Linked DNA regions of Caenorhabditis elegans. The protein of the gene in region 1 interacts with the protein of each later gene in a pairwise test. Each region holds a gene or a part of one and is shown in the gene's direction. Other genes may lie near its edges.

The links. Proteins that work in one complex are often made in the same cells at the same time.
Region 2: the proteins of akt-2 (region 1) and T28C6.7 interact in a two-hybrid assay, tested with the Caenorhabditis elegans proteins (one large-scale study listed by BioGRID).

The regions. Positions count from the first base shown.
Region 1 is NC_003284.9:14,144,727-14,153,673, forward strand, and holds akt-2 (Serine/threonine-protein kinase akt-2), read left to right. Parts: upstream 1-2,973; 5' UTR 2,974-2,980; coding exon 2,981-3,075; intron 3,076-3,278; coding exon 3,279-3,387; intron 3,388-4,279; coding exon 4,280-4,480; intron 4,481-4,523; coding exon 4,524-4,643; intron 4,644-4,867; coding exon 4,868-5,065; intron 5,066-5,536; coding exon 5,537-5,728; intron 5,729-5,838; coding exon 5,839-5,967; intron 5,968-6,014; coding exon 6,015-6,377; coding exon of another isoform or gene 6,378-6,422; exon of another isoform or gene 6,423-6,654; coding exon 6,655-6,834; 3' UTR 6,835-7,242; downstream 7,243-8,947. UniProt on the Caenorhabditis elegans protein: Acts downstream of PI3 kinase age-1 and kinase pdk-1 in the daf-2/insulin receptor-like transduction pathway. Essential role in regulating developmental arrest at the dauer stage.
Region 2 is NC_003282.8:8,824,381-8,831,617, forward strand, and holds the start of T28C6.7 (Kinesin motor domain-containing protein), read left to right. Parts: upstream 1-3,423; coding exon 3,424-3,573; intron 3,574-3,620; coding exon 3,621-3,834; intron 3,835-4,138; coding exon 4,139-4,614; intron 4,615-4,668; coding exon 4,669-5,061; intron 5,062-5,168; exon of another isoform or gene 5,169-5,308; coding exon 5,309-5,402; exon of another isoform or gene 5,403-5,560; coding exon of another isoform or gene 5,561-5,752; intron 5,753-5,893; coding exon of another isoform or gene 5,894-6,061; exon of another isoform or gene 6,062-6,082; intron 6,083-6,201; exon of another isoform or gene 6,202-6,347; intron 6,348-7,237. Other genes in the region: col-3 (Nematode cuticle collagen N-terminal domain-containing protein), read left to right, coding at 434-514, 774-1,592; T28C6.8 (Membrane protein BRI3), read right to left, coding at 5,561-5,752, 5,894-6,061.

The DNA.
Region 1 (8,947 bases):
TTGTCTTACTAAAATGTGAACTTTTATCAGTCTTGCTTTCAAGTTATTTTATTCCATTTCAGTTGTATTTTTTAATAACTTTTAATATTTTTGAAATGCGCTGTTAATATTTTTAATTGATACTTTCTATTTAATTTAAATTGTTTATTCCGTGTTTTTACGTGCATTTTCGGATAATCGGCTTCCAAATATACCAAAAATTGAGTGCCTACCGATTGAAACTGTAAGCTAATAACAACTAGGCCTGTTGAATGGGTCGAGATGGGTCGACCCGCGACCCAATTTTGGGTCGGGGTCGCGTCCCCGACCCATTTTCGGAAAATGTCTGAAATTGAAAAAAAAAGTTTGTTTTGTTGTAAATCGTGTTTAAACGTTGACTCTTATGCTTGTTTGTATCGAAAATAGGATATGTTTTTTTAATTGATGAAAATACGATAATTTTATAATTTTCAGCTTTTACACGTGTTTTTTGACAAAAAATAGTTTTTCAAGTTTTTGATAACTTTCTGTTAAATTTTGAAAAAAATGGGTCGGGGACATGACCCCGACCCAAAAAGTGGGTCGGGGCCGCAACCCCGACCCAAAAAATGGGTCGGGGACGCGACCCCAACCCGGCCGACCCAAAAAAAATGGGGCGACCCACTCCACAGGCCTAATAACAACAATGCAGACAAAATATACAAAATAGCAGTATATTCGAATAAAAATTCATATCTGTCCACTGCGAGAAGAACGAGTAATTAATATGTCTTTTTTTTTATATTTTGCACGTTTCTGTTTTTGTGGTGTCCTTGTTCTATATAAAGGACTACACACCAAAAAACAACTGAATAATAGACGTTGTTGACATGCTTGTTTGTGGATTTTCAGAGATCAAATCCCACGTTTTCGGTTTTTTTTGTCGTTTTTTCGGAATCTCTAAAATGTATATTCTTTGTTTTTAGTAGTTCATATTATTATAAAAGAAAAAAAACTGCACATCTGGTAAACAATATAGAAAAAGAGAGTTGCGAAACTTCAAAAATTTGTTATTTAATGTCTTGCGACACTTAAAAAACCGGCATTTTACAGTTTATGTTGTGTTTTTTGTTTGTCGGTTGTCTTATCATCTTGTGGTTTTGGATGCATTTTTCACTTGGCAAGTTGTTTACCACTTTCTTCCGACCGCATGCTTTTTTTGCTTCGTTGGTTTTTTCAAAGTAAGACGGTTGTCATACAACAAATATCACAAGGAAATCACATATTTCACTGTTTCAACACCATGCCCATTTTACTCCAGACAAAAAGTTACCTATGTAGTTCCACTAGACGTTAGGAAATATTATACATTTTTGAAATTCATTTTTATTTTAGAGATTTCAAAATTATAGATTTTTACTAAAATTGCACGGAACGGCGGAAATAAGTAGACGAACGCCTACAGTCAAAATTCACAGGAATACCTCGTTAAATTATTCCGCTTTAAATAACTAAAATTGTATATAACATCACACTTCTACTTCCAGTGAAATACGCCTCTTTCTGCTTAAACTTTTTGTTCAGTTAACCAAAAGAATAGAGATTTGCAGCAAAGGTGGAGTAGCTCTTGTGCACGTGGTGGCAGGCAGTCCCATCACGGTCTGATCTACAAAACATGCGGGAATTTTTTCCCCCAAAAAATATGACGTCAGCACACTCTTAGCCATGCGCATTCAGTTGAAATGTCTGCGTCTAAATTCCCGCGAATTTTGTAGATCTACGTAGATCAAACAGAACTGAGACAATTTGACACCACGTGTCAGTGGAAATTTCATTATAACGCATTTATGATATTACAAAACAATAATACAGTCACTTGAATCTTTGTTTAAGGTGGTTTATATAATTTTCCCCAAGTTAAATTCGAATAATAATTTGTTTTGAAGAGAAAACAAGTTACTAAATGTTATTAAATTGTGAGCAACGTATTGCGTACATAAAATAATTTTGCTTTATACTTGATCCACCAGAATTCACATTCCCTCGTTATTTGAAAATGTTTAGTTTCACGCACATGTTTCTCATATTTCATTATTCCAGAATTTTCTTCTTTTTTTTTTTGAAAACAAATCTCGCTTTCCAAAAAAATCAATATTCAAACGCAACCTTTCTCGTGATGCTGTTGACGGGGGGAGAAATAGTGTCTGAAGTTGTTTTCGTCCTTTTTCCTGCCGCAGCAAAAAAGGTCACATCCCCTCTCTTCGCTGCTATCTCTATTTCTCTCTCATCTCTCTTGCCGGCGTTTCTCTGCTTCTCCGCTCAAGTTTTGTCTGCAATCTTTTCCTTCTGTCCTTTTCCTCTGTTTGCCACAATACGTCACTAGGGGTGTTTGTTTTTCCCATAGTCTTTCGTAGCCAACGACTATTTTCTTCTTTTTTTTTTCGTGTTTTATCAAAGCTATGAATTCTTAGTTCGTTAGATTTTTTTTTGGAGGAAAAATTGTCGTAGAACCTAATTAGTGTTGAATTAAAAAAATTAAACTTCAAAGCCTTATTGAAAATATGATCAATTAAAACTAAATTGTTATAAATGTTTCATAACCATGAAGTTCAAACTATGTTTGTAAATTTTTAAGATGTAATGGAAAAGTTGTAATATTTAAGTGCTCGTGTAGTATATCTGCCCTAAAAATTTTTGCCAATAGGGTTTCCACGTGGTGTCAGAATGTCTAATTTCGGCTTGATCTACGTAGATCTACAAAAAATGCGGGAGAAGAGACGCAGAGCTCTCAACTAATTTTGCATGGTTAAGAACGTGCTGACGTCACATTTTTGTGGCTAAAAAGTCCCGCATTTTTTGTAGATCACACCGTAGTGGGACACGTGGTTTTCCATTTTTGGGGCAGGTATAGTACATAAATACCATAATTTAAAACTACCTTTTAATTGTATTTTTTTAACGACGTATTTTTCTTTTTTAAAACAAAATCTCTGAAAGAATTATCACTATTTACAGCGTAAAAATGTCTACTGAAAACGCCCATCTACAAAAAGAAGACATTGTTATTGAAAGTTGGCTTCACAAGAAAGGAGAGCACATTCGTAATTGGCGCCCCAGGTAAGTTTTTCATTGTTTTACCAGGCCTATGTATCCAATCTAGTACAGTAGTTTTAAGTTTCATAGCTACTGTCCCTTATGAAAAGATATTCAAAAAGTTTTCACTTTAATTGCACTGAATTGGAAATGAAAATCTTCCAACAGGAAACCAAAACTAATTTGGAAATAAATGAAAATTAAATCCTAAGATGTCAGTATTTTAGGTACTTCATCTTGTTTCGAGATGGAACGTTGCTTGGATTCCGGTCAAAGCCAAAGGAAGATCAGCCGTTACCAGAGCCACTGAATAATTTTATGATTAGAGACGCAGCGGTAAGTTTTTGAACCTGTAGATGGTTACTAGAAAGTTTTCAAAATCGTTGCTTTTAAAGGTGGAGTAGCGCCAGACAATTTACTAAGTTTTTGCCACCCATTATTTTGGAAGTCGACAAAAAGAATTTTTTCCAACATTTTTTATACTGTATATCTGTTTTAATTATATCCATTGAAACATTGTAAGGGTCGGAACCAGGGGTGTGCGGCAAATCTCAAAATTTACCGAGCTCGGCAAATTCGGCAAATCTATTTTTCCATTATTTGCCGAGCACGGCCAATTCGGCAAATTTGCCGTGCTTAACAAAATCGGAAAAATTATATATTTTTTGATATTTTTTGGAGCACCGAAACTACTGAATTCTTAACACACCTCTGGTTTCTGAACAAGTTAGATGTAGTGTGTCTGCTTAAACATCAAAATAACTCAATTTGTTGTCATTTTACTAAATTTTTGGCGAAAAAATCAACAGTTTTAGTCAAAATTGTACTGTCAAATTTTTGACGTGTGCGGCAAATTTCGAAATTTGCCGCACACCCCTGGTCGGAACATTCGACATTGCTTTCGATTTCTTCAAAAACTCATACTTTTCAAAACTTTGGCAATTTGCCAAAACTTTGACCGGAAATTATGAAAAATCTAAAATTTATTGGAATGCTTCATTATGATATTCGGACATTTTGGATTATTAAAAATGTGTTTGAACAAAATCTTCCCTGGCTCTACTCCACCTTTAAGCAGAAAGTTAGTACCCCAGTAATATACATATGTAGAAATCCCTCTTTAGTAAAAATTTGAAAACCTTAGCTGAACTTCAAATAAGTTTTTAAGTAATTGCCAGTAGGCAGTTTCCATATTGAAAACCGCAACTACCAAAATGCTTTATTTCAGACGGTTTGCCTTGACAAACCTCGACCAAATATGTTTATCGTGCGATGTCTCCAATGGACCACTGTCATTGAACGCACATTTTATGCGGATAGCGCCGACTTCCGTCAGATGTGGATTGAAGCAATTCAAGCTGTATCCAGTCACAATCGTTTGAAAGAAAATGCAGGAAATACCAGCATGCAGGAGGAAGATACTAATGGAGTATGAAAGTAAAGAGATTCAAAATTTTCATGAAATTTTTTAGAATCCGTCTGGAGAAAGTGATGTGAACATGGACGCAACAAGCACCCGTTCGGATAATGATTTTGAGTCAACTGTAATGAATATCGACGAACCAGAGGAAGTTCCAAGAAAAAATACAGTGGTAAGTTTCAAAATCCTGCCAACAAATCCACGTATTGATATGTGGAAATAAGAGGTTTTTAAAGAAAGTTTTTTGAGTAAAAATGATTAACTCGAAAGGCGCAACAAGTTTTTTTTGGTTGACAGGTTGAGCGAAACTTTTTTTTCTGATTTTCCGCTAAAAATTCAAGTTTTGCTTTGTATCTCTATTATTTCTTAAATGTATGTAGTTATTTAATTTTGCAGACGATGGACGATTTTGACTTCCTCAAAGTTCTCGGTCAAGGAACCTTCGGAAAAGTTATTTTGTGCAGGGAGAAAAGTTCTGATAAGCTCTACGCCATTAAGATTATCAGAAAAGAAATGGTCGTTGATCGTTCTGAGGTGGCCCACACTTTGACTGAAAATCGAGTTCTGTATGCTTGCGTTCACCCTTTTCTCACGGTATGCTTATTGGTCGAAAAAATATTGAGTCGGTGTACAATGTTGGCAGATGTCAGTGAAAATTGAAGTAGATGATTTTTTTCGTGAAAAAATCATGTTTAGAGAGACGGATAAATGCACACTAGGATTTCAACGATGGCGCTACTCTCGCCCGCCAGCACCACAATACGCCCCACACTCCCGCCGCCCTCACAACATCGCCTTTCTCTGTTGCACGTAGCTATAGTGGCGCGAGGTCCTGCGCGGCGTCGGCAGCAGTACACAGAGTGTGATAATGCTGGCGCATGGGCGTGCCGAAGTAGGGCGGGCGTTTCCGTGGAACCATATTTTTTTTCTCTAAGAAACTCTGAAATACATATTTCCTATAAATTTATCGATTGCCATAACTTTACAAATATATCTTACTTACAATTATTTAAAATATTTGAATTCCCCAGTTGTTGACACAGTGCCACAAATATATTTTTTCAGCTACTTAAATACAGTTTCCAAGCACAATATCACATCTGTTTTGTGATGGAGTTTGCAAATGGTGGCGAGCTGTTCACCCATCTTCAGAGGTGCAAAACATTCAGCGAAGCACGAACAAGATTTTATGGATCGGAAATCATACTTGCTCTTGGATACCTTCATCACAGAAATATTGTGTATCGTGATATGAAAGTAAGTAGAAGCTTTTTGAGAGGGGTTATCACAACTTGAAGTATTTGTCAGAAATTTTTGAATTTCACAACTTTGATGTTTTTTCATTGTTTTTTCCATTGTTTTTTCAGCTCGAAAATTTGCTTCTCGACAGAGATGGTCACATCAAAATCACTGACTTTGGGTTGTGCAAAGAGGAAATCAAATATGGAGATAAAACAAGCACCTTTTGCGGAACACCAGAATACCTTGCACCAGAGGTAAAGCCTTTCAATTCTCGCGTCAAGTTATTAGTCTATTGTTTCAGGTTATCGAAGACATCGACTATGACCGTAGTGTTGACTGGTGGGGAGTCGGAGTGGTCATGTACGAAATGATGTGTGGACGGCTTCCATTTTCAGCAAAGGAGAACGGCAAACTCTTCGAACTAATTACGACATGTGATTTGAAGTTCCCGAATAGGTTAAGCCCAGAAGCCGTAACATTACTATCTGGACTACTCGAAAGGGTCCCAGCTAAGCGGCTTGGTGCCGGTCCTGATGATGCACGTGAAGTTTCGAGAGCTGAATTTTTCAAAGATGTGGATTGGGAAGCAACATTAAGAAAAGAAGTCGAACCTCCATTTAAGCCAAATGTGATGTCTGAAACGGACACGAGTTTCTTTGACAGAGTACGTTACGTTTCAATTCTTTTGAAAGTTTCAGAAGCAATATGAGTAATTTTTAGAGTAAACGATTTACAATTAGGGCAAAGTGTTGTTATTTTTAGTACAGTTTTAAAAAAATGTATGCCAACGTACATAAGATTTCATTTAGTTTTTTTACTGATACTGAAACACAAACAACACTTTGTTTAATGACTAGGATTTTCCAATTTTCATAACAGTTTTCATAGTTTCTAGAAATAAGAGAACCAATGATTCAAAAATGATATTAACATATACTCAGGAGTTCACATCAATGCCGGTCCAACTGACGCCTCCACGTAGAGGGGAAGAACTTCCGACAGTTGATGAGGAAGAAGAATTACAAGCCAACTTCATACAATTTGCGTCATACTACGTGTCGGGAAGCTTGGAACGATCTTATGATACGAACAGAAGCGCTGACAAATACGAAATAAGATGATTTTGTTTTCAACAATTTTTTGTGTTTTCTGTACGTTTTTTTCTCATTCACTCAATTTTGTCAACATTTCATTGTCTCCTTTGAAAACTTGTTATCTCTTTCATGAACTTAACAAAATCTCTTTCAAACATTTCAACCTTTCCAAAAACTGAAACTTTGCGTAGAGCACATTTCGTGTTGCTCACATCCTCTGGGCTAATTTCCATTCCTTTCCTGTTAAAACTCCCCATTTCGCATCACTTTTTTGACAATGCTCTTTTATCATGTTTTTCTGTAGTACTTGATTCATATACCCATCTCTCGGGTATATTTAAAACTTTTAAAACACAGTTCCTTTTCTTGATAACATCTTTTTCTTGATATTTTGTCGCCGACATTTTTTCTCGGGAATGAACCTTTCTCACATGGATGACTTAACAGTACTTTTACATTAAGACAAATACTCAGTTCAAGTAACAAAGAAAACTTTTATCAGAATTTATTTAGTTCAGTTTTTGAATGTCTAATAAAAAAGTGCATTATATCTCAAAACTTTCGAACATAGAAAAACGAATGCTTTTAATAAGTTGTAATTGGAATTGAAACAGATTTCGAGAAGTGAAACAATGTTCGGGGATCCTGTGGAAATCTGTCATGCCATACGAGAAAGTACATAGCAAAGTTTTCGATTAGAATAGTTTCGAGTAGACCATCACTTCTCTCAATATCGAGTCCATATGTGCAATCCACAAATTCAAGATCATCACTGAAACGACAATTTAAAAAAAACTGAATTTTCAACTGGCAGGCTTAAGTTTAGACATATGTTCCGGTTAAGTGTAAGGCTTGGGCTTAGGTTCAGGTTAGGCTAAGCATTAAAATTGAAATCAGGTGTCGGCTTAGAAAGCTTAAGTTTCGACTTAGCTTATGTGGTTTTAAAGTGTAGTTTTTCTTTTTATTTTTTCCCTGTTTTCCCCTAGATTTTAAGCAAGAATAATGCATATCAGAATGATTCCCTCCATTTTTATGACTTGAAAATTCCAGAAAGTTATTATTTGGAAAAGACCTTAATTAAACATACCAGAAGATTCTTGCTCTACGTTTTGGATTCCATTTGGAATATGATAAACCTTTCAATAATTCGCCCGTCCAATTATGCCACCAGTAGTTCAATTGAAGTCTTCTCAGTTTCGGCGAATTCCCGGCCAGCCAGTAATGAATTTACTTATTCCGTTTTGTTGCCGAGACTGTATTGAGATCATAAAATCTCATTTTCTCGCAATCCATCATTTTCAAATCGTCTAGTGTTAATCCTGGGCCTTTTTCGATGTCCAATCGTGGAATATTGGCCCACTTAAATGTGAATATGCTCATAATTCAGCAAAGATATTTTCAACTTACCAGCTTTCTATCAATCTTGTCCTTGTGTAAACAATAAGTCAGGAATCCATATTTCGAATCGAAATTCTTCAATATAAATTCCATATCTTCAGTGCCAAAGTACGAATGTCCGAGAAGTTTTAGAAAATGGCATTTCCGAAACAAAGGGTGGCTCAAAGCAGATTTGAACTCCCCAAAAAGTTGATCATGGTCAATTGCCAAATCGACATGATCGATTGAAAACAATCCGTTCAAATAATCCAAAAGACTAGTCAACTGAAAGTTGTCATAGCCGACCAAATTTAGATTGTCTACCTTTCTTTAGTGAAAATTATCAAAATTAGAAAATAAAATCAAAAGCATAGTAGAAAACTTGTCCAGGAACAGAGGAAAACTGGATTTCCATGTGCAAAAACTAAATAACCTATCTCCGCGAAAAATGATCGGATAGAGCTGTGATTTGAGATTCCATTTTGAATCATTCTATTAACTCTAAATTTAACATAAAAACCGAAACGATAGTGGAAAGTTTGTGAATTTTATGGAAAAATGCAAATTGTTCAAGATAAATGTTCATTTTTCGATTTTTGATACGATTATCCACCTTTTTTGGAAAAAAATTATATTTTTCGCTTCCTCTCGATGTATTCAACATTTTTCCAAAAAAAAATTGGAAAAAAAGCAAGACTAACAGAGATTTGACCGGAACAATGGTGAAAACTGACCGAAAACACACCAAATATGAAAGGGGGAG
Region 2 (7,237 bases), on another chromosome or scaffold:
GAAAAGAAAAGGCCTTGAGATGTTTTCCCTCTGAATTTTCTTCTAATAAGCTGCGAAAAGTGTCGCATCAAAAATCGGCTAACCTTGACGGAGGAAGATTCGGCAGAGATAATTCTGATCAAATCTTCCGCTTTTTCTCGCTAATTTCTCTAACCTAACTGTGCTATCTCATTATTTTTTGTTAAGAAGAAGATGCCCGTTTACGTTTACGTTTTACGTTTACACCACCACTGTCGCGCCACCATCACAATCGACCTTGCCAATCAATTTTTTCATTATTCTCTTCCTCCTTTTTGCTTCGTTTTTTCTATCCTTTCATCTAACACAGACACAAACACAAGGTTGTAAACCTGTAGAAATGGCCGCCCCTTCTGTAAAGGGTAGAAAAATGTATAAAAGGGTAGTGGTAGGTTGAGAATCTTCAGTTTCCAACATGGATCTCGAACAACGTATTAAAGCTTACCGCTTCGTCGCCTACTCGGCCGTCGCCTTCTCCGTCGTCGCCGTTATCTCGGTTAGTTCTATAATTCTAGATATCTGTAAAAACTATAAGCTGATTGGTAAACAAACGAACACTAATTCGATTATTGTGTTCTAGTTACTGAACCGTAACTAGGTAGCAATGATTCCCATATACATTCACTGAAACTGTAAAATTTTTTAAAAACCTTTTTAGTTGTGAGAACGATTCGCCATTTCTAGATATAACGTGTTCTCTCTTAAAACTCTTAAAACCAAATTATTTAAAACATTATCTAAATACAATTTTTCAGGTGTGCGTCACTCTTCCAATGGTGTACAACTATGTCCACCATGTGAAGAGAACCATGCACTCCGAGATCAATTTCTGCAAGGGATCCGCCAAGGATATCTGGTCCGAGGTCAACCACCTTAAGGCCATCCCATCTGGAAACCGTACCGCCCGTCAAGCTGGATATGATGCTGGAGTCACCGGAGGATCTGCCTCTGCTGGAGGTTGCGACGCTTGCTGCCTTCCAGGAGCCGCTGGACCAGCTGGAACCCCAGGAAAGCCAGGACGCCCAGGAAAGCCAGGAGCACCAGGACTTCCAGGAAACCCAGGACGCCCACCACAGCAACCATGTGAGCCAATTACCCCACCACCATGCAAGCCATGCCCAGCCGGACCAGCTGGAGCCCCAGGACCAGCAGGACCAGCCGGAGATGCCGGAGCCAACGGAAACCCAGGAGCCCCAGGAAACGACGGACAACCAGGAGCCCCAGGAAACAAGGGACCATCTGGACCAAACGGAAACCCAGGAGCCCCAGGAGCCCCAGGACAGCCAGGACAAGACGCTCCATCCGAGCCAATTACACCAGGAGCACCAGGACCAGCTGGACCAGCCGGACCACAAGGACCACCAGGAGCCCCAGGACAGCCAGGACACGATGGACAACCAGGAGCCCCAGGACCAAAGGGACCAAATGGAAACCCAGGAGCCCCAGGAGCCGACGGAAACCCAGGAGCCCCAGGACAAGCTGGAACTTCCGGAGGTGCCGGAGAGAAGGGAATCTGTCCAAAGTACTGCGCCATCGACGGAGGAGTCTTCTTCGAGGACGGAACTCGCCGTTAAATTTTATGAGAAATTCAACAATAAAATATTCTCTATTCATCAATTTAATGTGTTTTTTTGTTCAACTTCAGAGAAAATAACTAATTCAGAACAAGAAAATTTCGTCACTAGTAATTACGCAGCAAGAATAACGATTCCATAGATACACAATTATTCTGTACAAAATATTTATTAGTTTTAGTATAAAGAAACAATATTCTTAAAAATGCTCCTAGTTCGAAATTTGGAATGGTTTATCGAATTATTACAATGACCTGAAAAGCCTAGAATTTATGCTATCAGTAATGCTGATTTTTCAGAAGAACTGATGAGCTTAATAGACACAAATGCCTTTTGAAAATAGAAAGAGAACTGTGTTTCATGGGTTACCAAACTTAGTAAATTTTCTTCTCGATGCTGTTTGATCTATCTTGACCCAAAAACTTTAGTAAGACAGAAATTATTTTAACAAAAATATCAGTTGTGTGCTTTGCTTTTTTACATCGTGCTCTCATGTACTGACAGACAATGAGACGTGTTCTTATAACGTTTTGTTCACAGTTTTCAATGCTTACTTTAACTTTTCTGAATACACACCGCACAGAAAACTAATGATTTAAAATGGCCTACATGAAGAGTTCCAAAACAGAAAATAAAAATTGAAAAGTCATGTTTTTTCATGCCAAAATAGTCATTTGGTTATTTTTACCATCGATTTCTTTTTTGTAATTAATATCCGTATTTAATGTCACTAATATTTCACCGAGCTCTCCCATTATTTGGCCCATACACTATGTCAATGGTCACCGCGAAAGTGAAATGCGCCACCGCAAACGAATGTGCGTCAGCAGAAAATCAATAACGCGGGTGCCGTGTTGGTCGACGTGTCTCTCGAAAGGAACTAATTCGAACCAGTTTTTTGTAGAATTTCGTGTTAAAACTTCATTTTTGATTCTTCAGGAATTAAATTGCACGTAGATTTGTAACTGTTTTAAGTCGTTTCATATATTCTTCCTTATGTTTCAAATTTAGTTATATAACCTATATTTAAATTGCTGTATTAATTCACAGTGCTAGCCAAAGAAGCAACCTTTTTTGGTTTTTGATATTGTTGAGAATGATTAAAATGAATTCCGAAACTATTTCCGAAACTAATTCAGAAGCTAATTCAGAAGCAAATTATTTTTACTTTTGTATACTTGTTCAAATAAGTTAATTATATTCACTAGTACCAAAAAAAGCGGAATTTCTAGAGTATATTATTATTATAGTTAAAAAATGAAACAGTAAATGAAAATTATTTTACTTCAGCAACCTTTAAATACAAAAATAAATATTTTGTTAGTTATACTTCTGATAACTAGGTTACGAGTTATACTTTTGAATAATTTGCAACATTATCAAAAAACTGAAAGTGAATATATTTTTGGCATGCTCCTTATACCTAATCAGTTTATTAACTTTAAAAAACGATTTTTCATCCATTATAAGACTTCTCAAGTAGTGTCGGAAGATTAAAAAATTTTAGAAAAAAAAGGATGTGTTCGGAAAACTTTTTGAAAAAAAAACGTGAGACGCATATTATTGCGTGAGATTAAAATGTGAGCTTTCCACGTGGGTTCAGCGCCTCTCCGTTACGTGGAACGGGGTTTCTCTGTTTCTCTCTCCAATCTCTCGCAGAAAATTTATTCTGGATTTACAAATTATTTAAAAAGTTTTTGAATAATTTTACGTCATCCCTTTTTTTAAACTATAATTTTCAAATTTCTTTTCTTCTCATTGTTTCTTCACGTCCTTGAAGTATACTGTCACTTTTTAAATACGTTAAATACAAATATAATACTTTTCAGAAATGGAGGACAAAACCTCCAAAGAAAAAGAAAAATCGGCCGACAAACGGATCGATGAACGGGTTCATCAACAACTGGTGTATAAGGATAACCGAATTATAGATTTAAATAATGTGATATTGGATAAAGAAAGGCAAATTTTGGACTTACAGGTGAGAATTATTCTGTTTCTGTGGTTTCATATTGGAGTTGTATTTAGGAAAGAGTTCGTGAGCACAATGAAGTTGCTTCAGTCAAAAATCAAGCAATGAGAATTGTTCAACAAAAATTTGAAGAAATGAATAGAGACAAGAAGGATATGTCGACAGAAACTGAGCCTTCTTTGATGGCTCATTCCTCAGTACCATTATCAAATTCAAAGAGTGAACGGAGAGCAAGAAGTTCATCTCCAGGTCATGTCATTGCACAGAGAAGTGAGTAAAGTTTTTTGGTTAAAAAAAAATGAAGTTGTCATGCACCATTTCTGAATATATATGACGTTCAGTTTTATTTTTAGAATTTTTTTATTATTCCCAAACAGGAAAATTGCTGATCTTAGACGTGTTAGGACAACTGTAACCTACAGTAATCTAAAGGTAGCTTGCCCAAGTAATTTGTATGCTCCTCTTTTTCTTGAAAATAAGCTCGAAAATTGAGCACACGGCTAGAAATTGAAAATTGTGACGATATAAAACTTTTTTTTAAAGTTTAACGGAATTGAATTGATCTATTTTTCAGAAACGATGGTCTCAAGTTCATCGGGAACCTTCTCTCCTCCACCATTGGATCCTCCATTTGATCCATCTAGCAAACTGAGCGCTCTTCCAGATATTGACGGAATCCATAGGAAACATCAAAGAAAACGTGTAACTTTTGATTTAAATCCAAATGGTTCTTCAATTGGAACATCAACATCTTCCAATTTTCCATCTACATCTGTTTCCCGCTATCCCACCATTTCAATGTCTTCTTCAACTTCAGACGCTCTCGAGTCTGCTTTAACAGAAGCTTCATCTGAAAATGCTTTACTCCGTCAGCAAGTTATCGAACTAAACTCATCTGTTGAAAAAATGAAAGCAGACTATGAATCTGAAATTCTCAAATACACAAAAGAGGCAAAAACTGCTGGACTCAAGGCAAAGGTTGCGGCGACTGCAAGAATCAAGGAGTTGGAAACTACACTTGAAGATATCAATGGAAAATATGAAGATGAGGTAAGTGAAATAGATGAATATATCATTTTGTATAGAAACGTTTCCAATTTTCAGAGGGATCGTCTTCAAGAAGAAGTTGACACTCTCCGATCTTCTCGAAATTGGGAAATAGAACAAAATGCTCTTCTTCGTGATCAAGTTGCTCATTTGAAAGAAAAAGTTCACAAGTTGACAACAGAGTTAGATGCTAGTGAAGTAGCCAAACGATCCTTGAGCTCAGAAGTTGACGAATCTAAAAAGCTGATGGAATTGATGGTTGAAGATCTCCTTCAAGCTGAATCCGCTATCAACTACAATCAATGTCAGAAAAAAGCTATTTTTGAGGACATTGACCGATTGAAGGATGCCATTCAAGCACAGGATAGATTTATTGAAGTTCTTGAAGCTGATATTGTCATCTATGAGCAACATATTGGACTTTTGAGAGAGAATTTGGGTGCTTCACAGGTAAGATTTTTATTTCCTGTTGAAGCTCATTTTTTCCATAAGAAAATCTTTAACATCTCGAAATTTCTAGTCTAGAGAAAAGTCAATTGAAATATCTATAAAAAAGAAAAAGTATTATATTTATTAACGGAAAAATTCTGGAAATATACGTTTCAAAGTTATGTAATTAATCACACTGAAACCCGTAGTTTAATTGACCAAAATCAAACAGAAAAAGAAACTGAAAAATATTTCAAATAATTTACAGGTCGATCATCGAGCACTGATAAAATCAAAAGCTTTCGAGACGAAACTATTGGCTTTGGAACGCGAAAAAGAGCAAAGTGACAAGAAATCAAATGGTGAGACGATAGGAGACTTTTTTGTAAAGAAAAATGGGATAAGTATCATTTAAAACTTCTGATCAAGTATCAGAATAATCGGAAATATTTACTTATGAAAATTACTTAAACGTAACAAACCCCTTTTGAAACCCTGGCGAAATCAAAAATTCAAAAAATTAATCCACAATTGGTGCAGTTGATAGTGTGGTGGAAACTGTAGAATCTGTGGATGATGCTGTCATTGCCGGATTACGATATGCAGCAAAACTAGCTGGAAGAGCCGTTTTTGTAGATTCGTACAAACGGAAGTTGTAGCCCAATCCGGGAGTTCTTGGTAAAATAGCACGGGTTTCAGTACGTTTAACCACCTGCAACATTTGATTTATTAAAAACGAGATAAGACATTAGCTATTGCAGAACACCAATACATTTCTTTAGAAATTATAACTAAAGCTCTCATTTTCATAAGAACTAAGCCTTCTAATTTTATTTTGAAAGAAAAAACTCACATCACATTGACATTGTGTGCAATAGTATGTTTTCCGTTTCATGCAGCAGTAGATTCCACACGGAAAGCAAAAAATTGCGTATAAAATTGCTCGCCAACTGAAACGGCTTTTCACTTTTTTCTGAGTGCAAGCCGGACATGACAGATTAGAAGATGTAGTGGATGACATGATGGTTTTGAAGTTTTACATCTGAAATTTAAGCTTTAAAAACTTTTTAAAAAGTGTTTGAAGAAGGTGTGCAGCAGTTTCATATCTGGAAGCTCATACGTGCTTCTCCGTTTATGAGAATAAATTATGCCTAAACTCACTTGCCACATCGAATCGTGTTCCAATAATGCAAAAAAAAATTAATGTGGGACGCAGCGTGTCAATAATCGATGGGAGAGAAAGGACAAAGTATCCGCTCGACTGCCACCTCACTGTTTTCGCCTAAAGTATCACAATCAACTAAAGATAGACATAGAGAGAAACGGCACGCAGATATACAGACAGACAGGCAGACATATAGAGAAATTAGAGAAACATTGTTTTGTGTTGACAATACAAGAGGTCTGATGATAAATTGGTCAGTGAAACAGAGAGGAACACGCCACCGCAAAACCATGACTAGTTTCTAGGAAAACGCATGTTTCTCAGAACTTATTGCCATTCGAATGCGTTTTCATGAAAAGGTTGTTTAGAAAAAACATAGAAAAAAGATGAATCGTTCAAATTCCAAAATTATATAAATGAGAATGTACTACTAAAAGGAAATTCGAACTTTAAAAAAATTAGGAAACGAGTGTTTAGGAGCCTACCACATCAACATCAAAATATCTGCTTGATGTGAGTATAAAACTGCTTTAAAAAAATGTTTTCTGCAGTTTTCTATTGTCCTCGTGAAATTTTTCAAATGTATAGAATTCAATTTATATAACAACTAGGTTTTTATAACATGACTAATCACTTGTCACCACATTCCAGTCGTACAAAAATTGGGGCAAAATCATTGTGTCAAATTGATTAGAAAAGTGTTAAAAGACATACAGTAAAATTAATTTAAAAGTATTAGTAGAGAAAATGAGAGAAAATCAATGTGTATTTCGATTTAAAATTAAAATGAAAGTCGAGGGGTCTTTATGTGATCACCACCAATTGTCAACATACACTGGGAGACGGAAAATGAAGAGAAAGAGAGTCAGCTGCTTTTGATCAGCAAAATTTTGTGTTCATCGTTGTGTTGACCTTATAAACATAGAAAGAATATACCGAATAATATTATGCCAGTGGGAAAATAAATTTTGGTTTTCGAAATGTTTTTCAAGCTGAAATTTGTTTCATTTTTTTTTCAAATAATCAAATGAT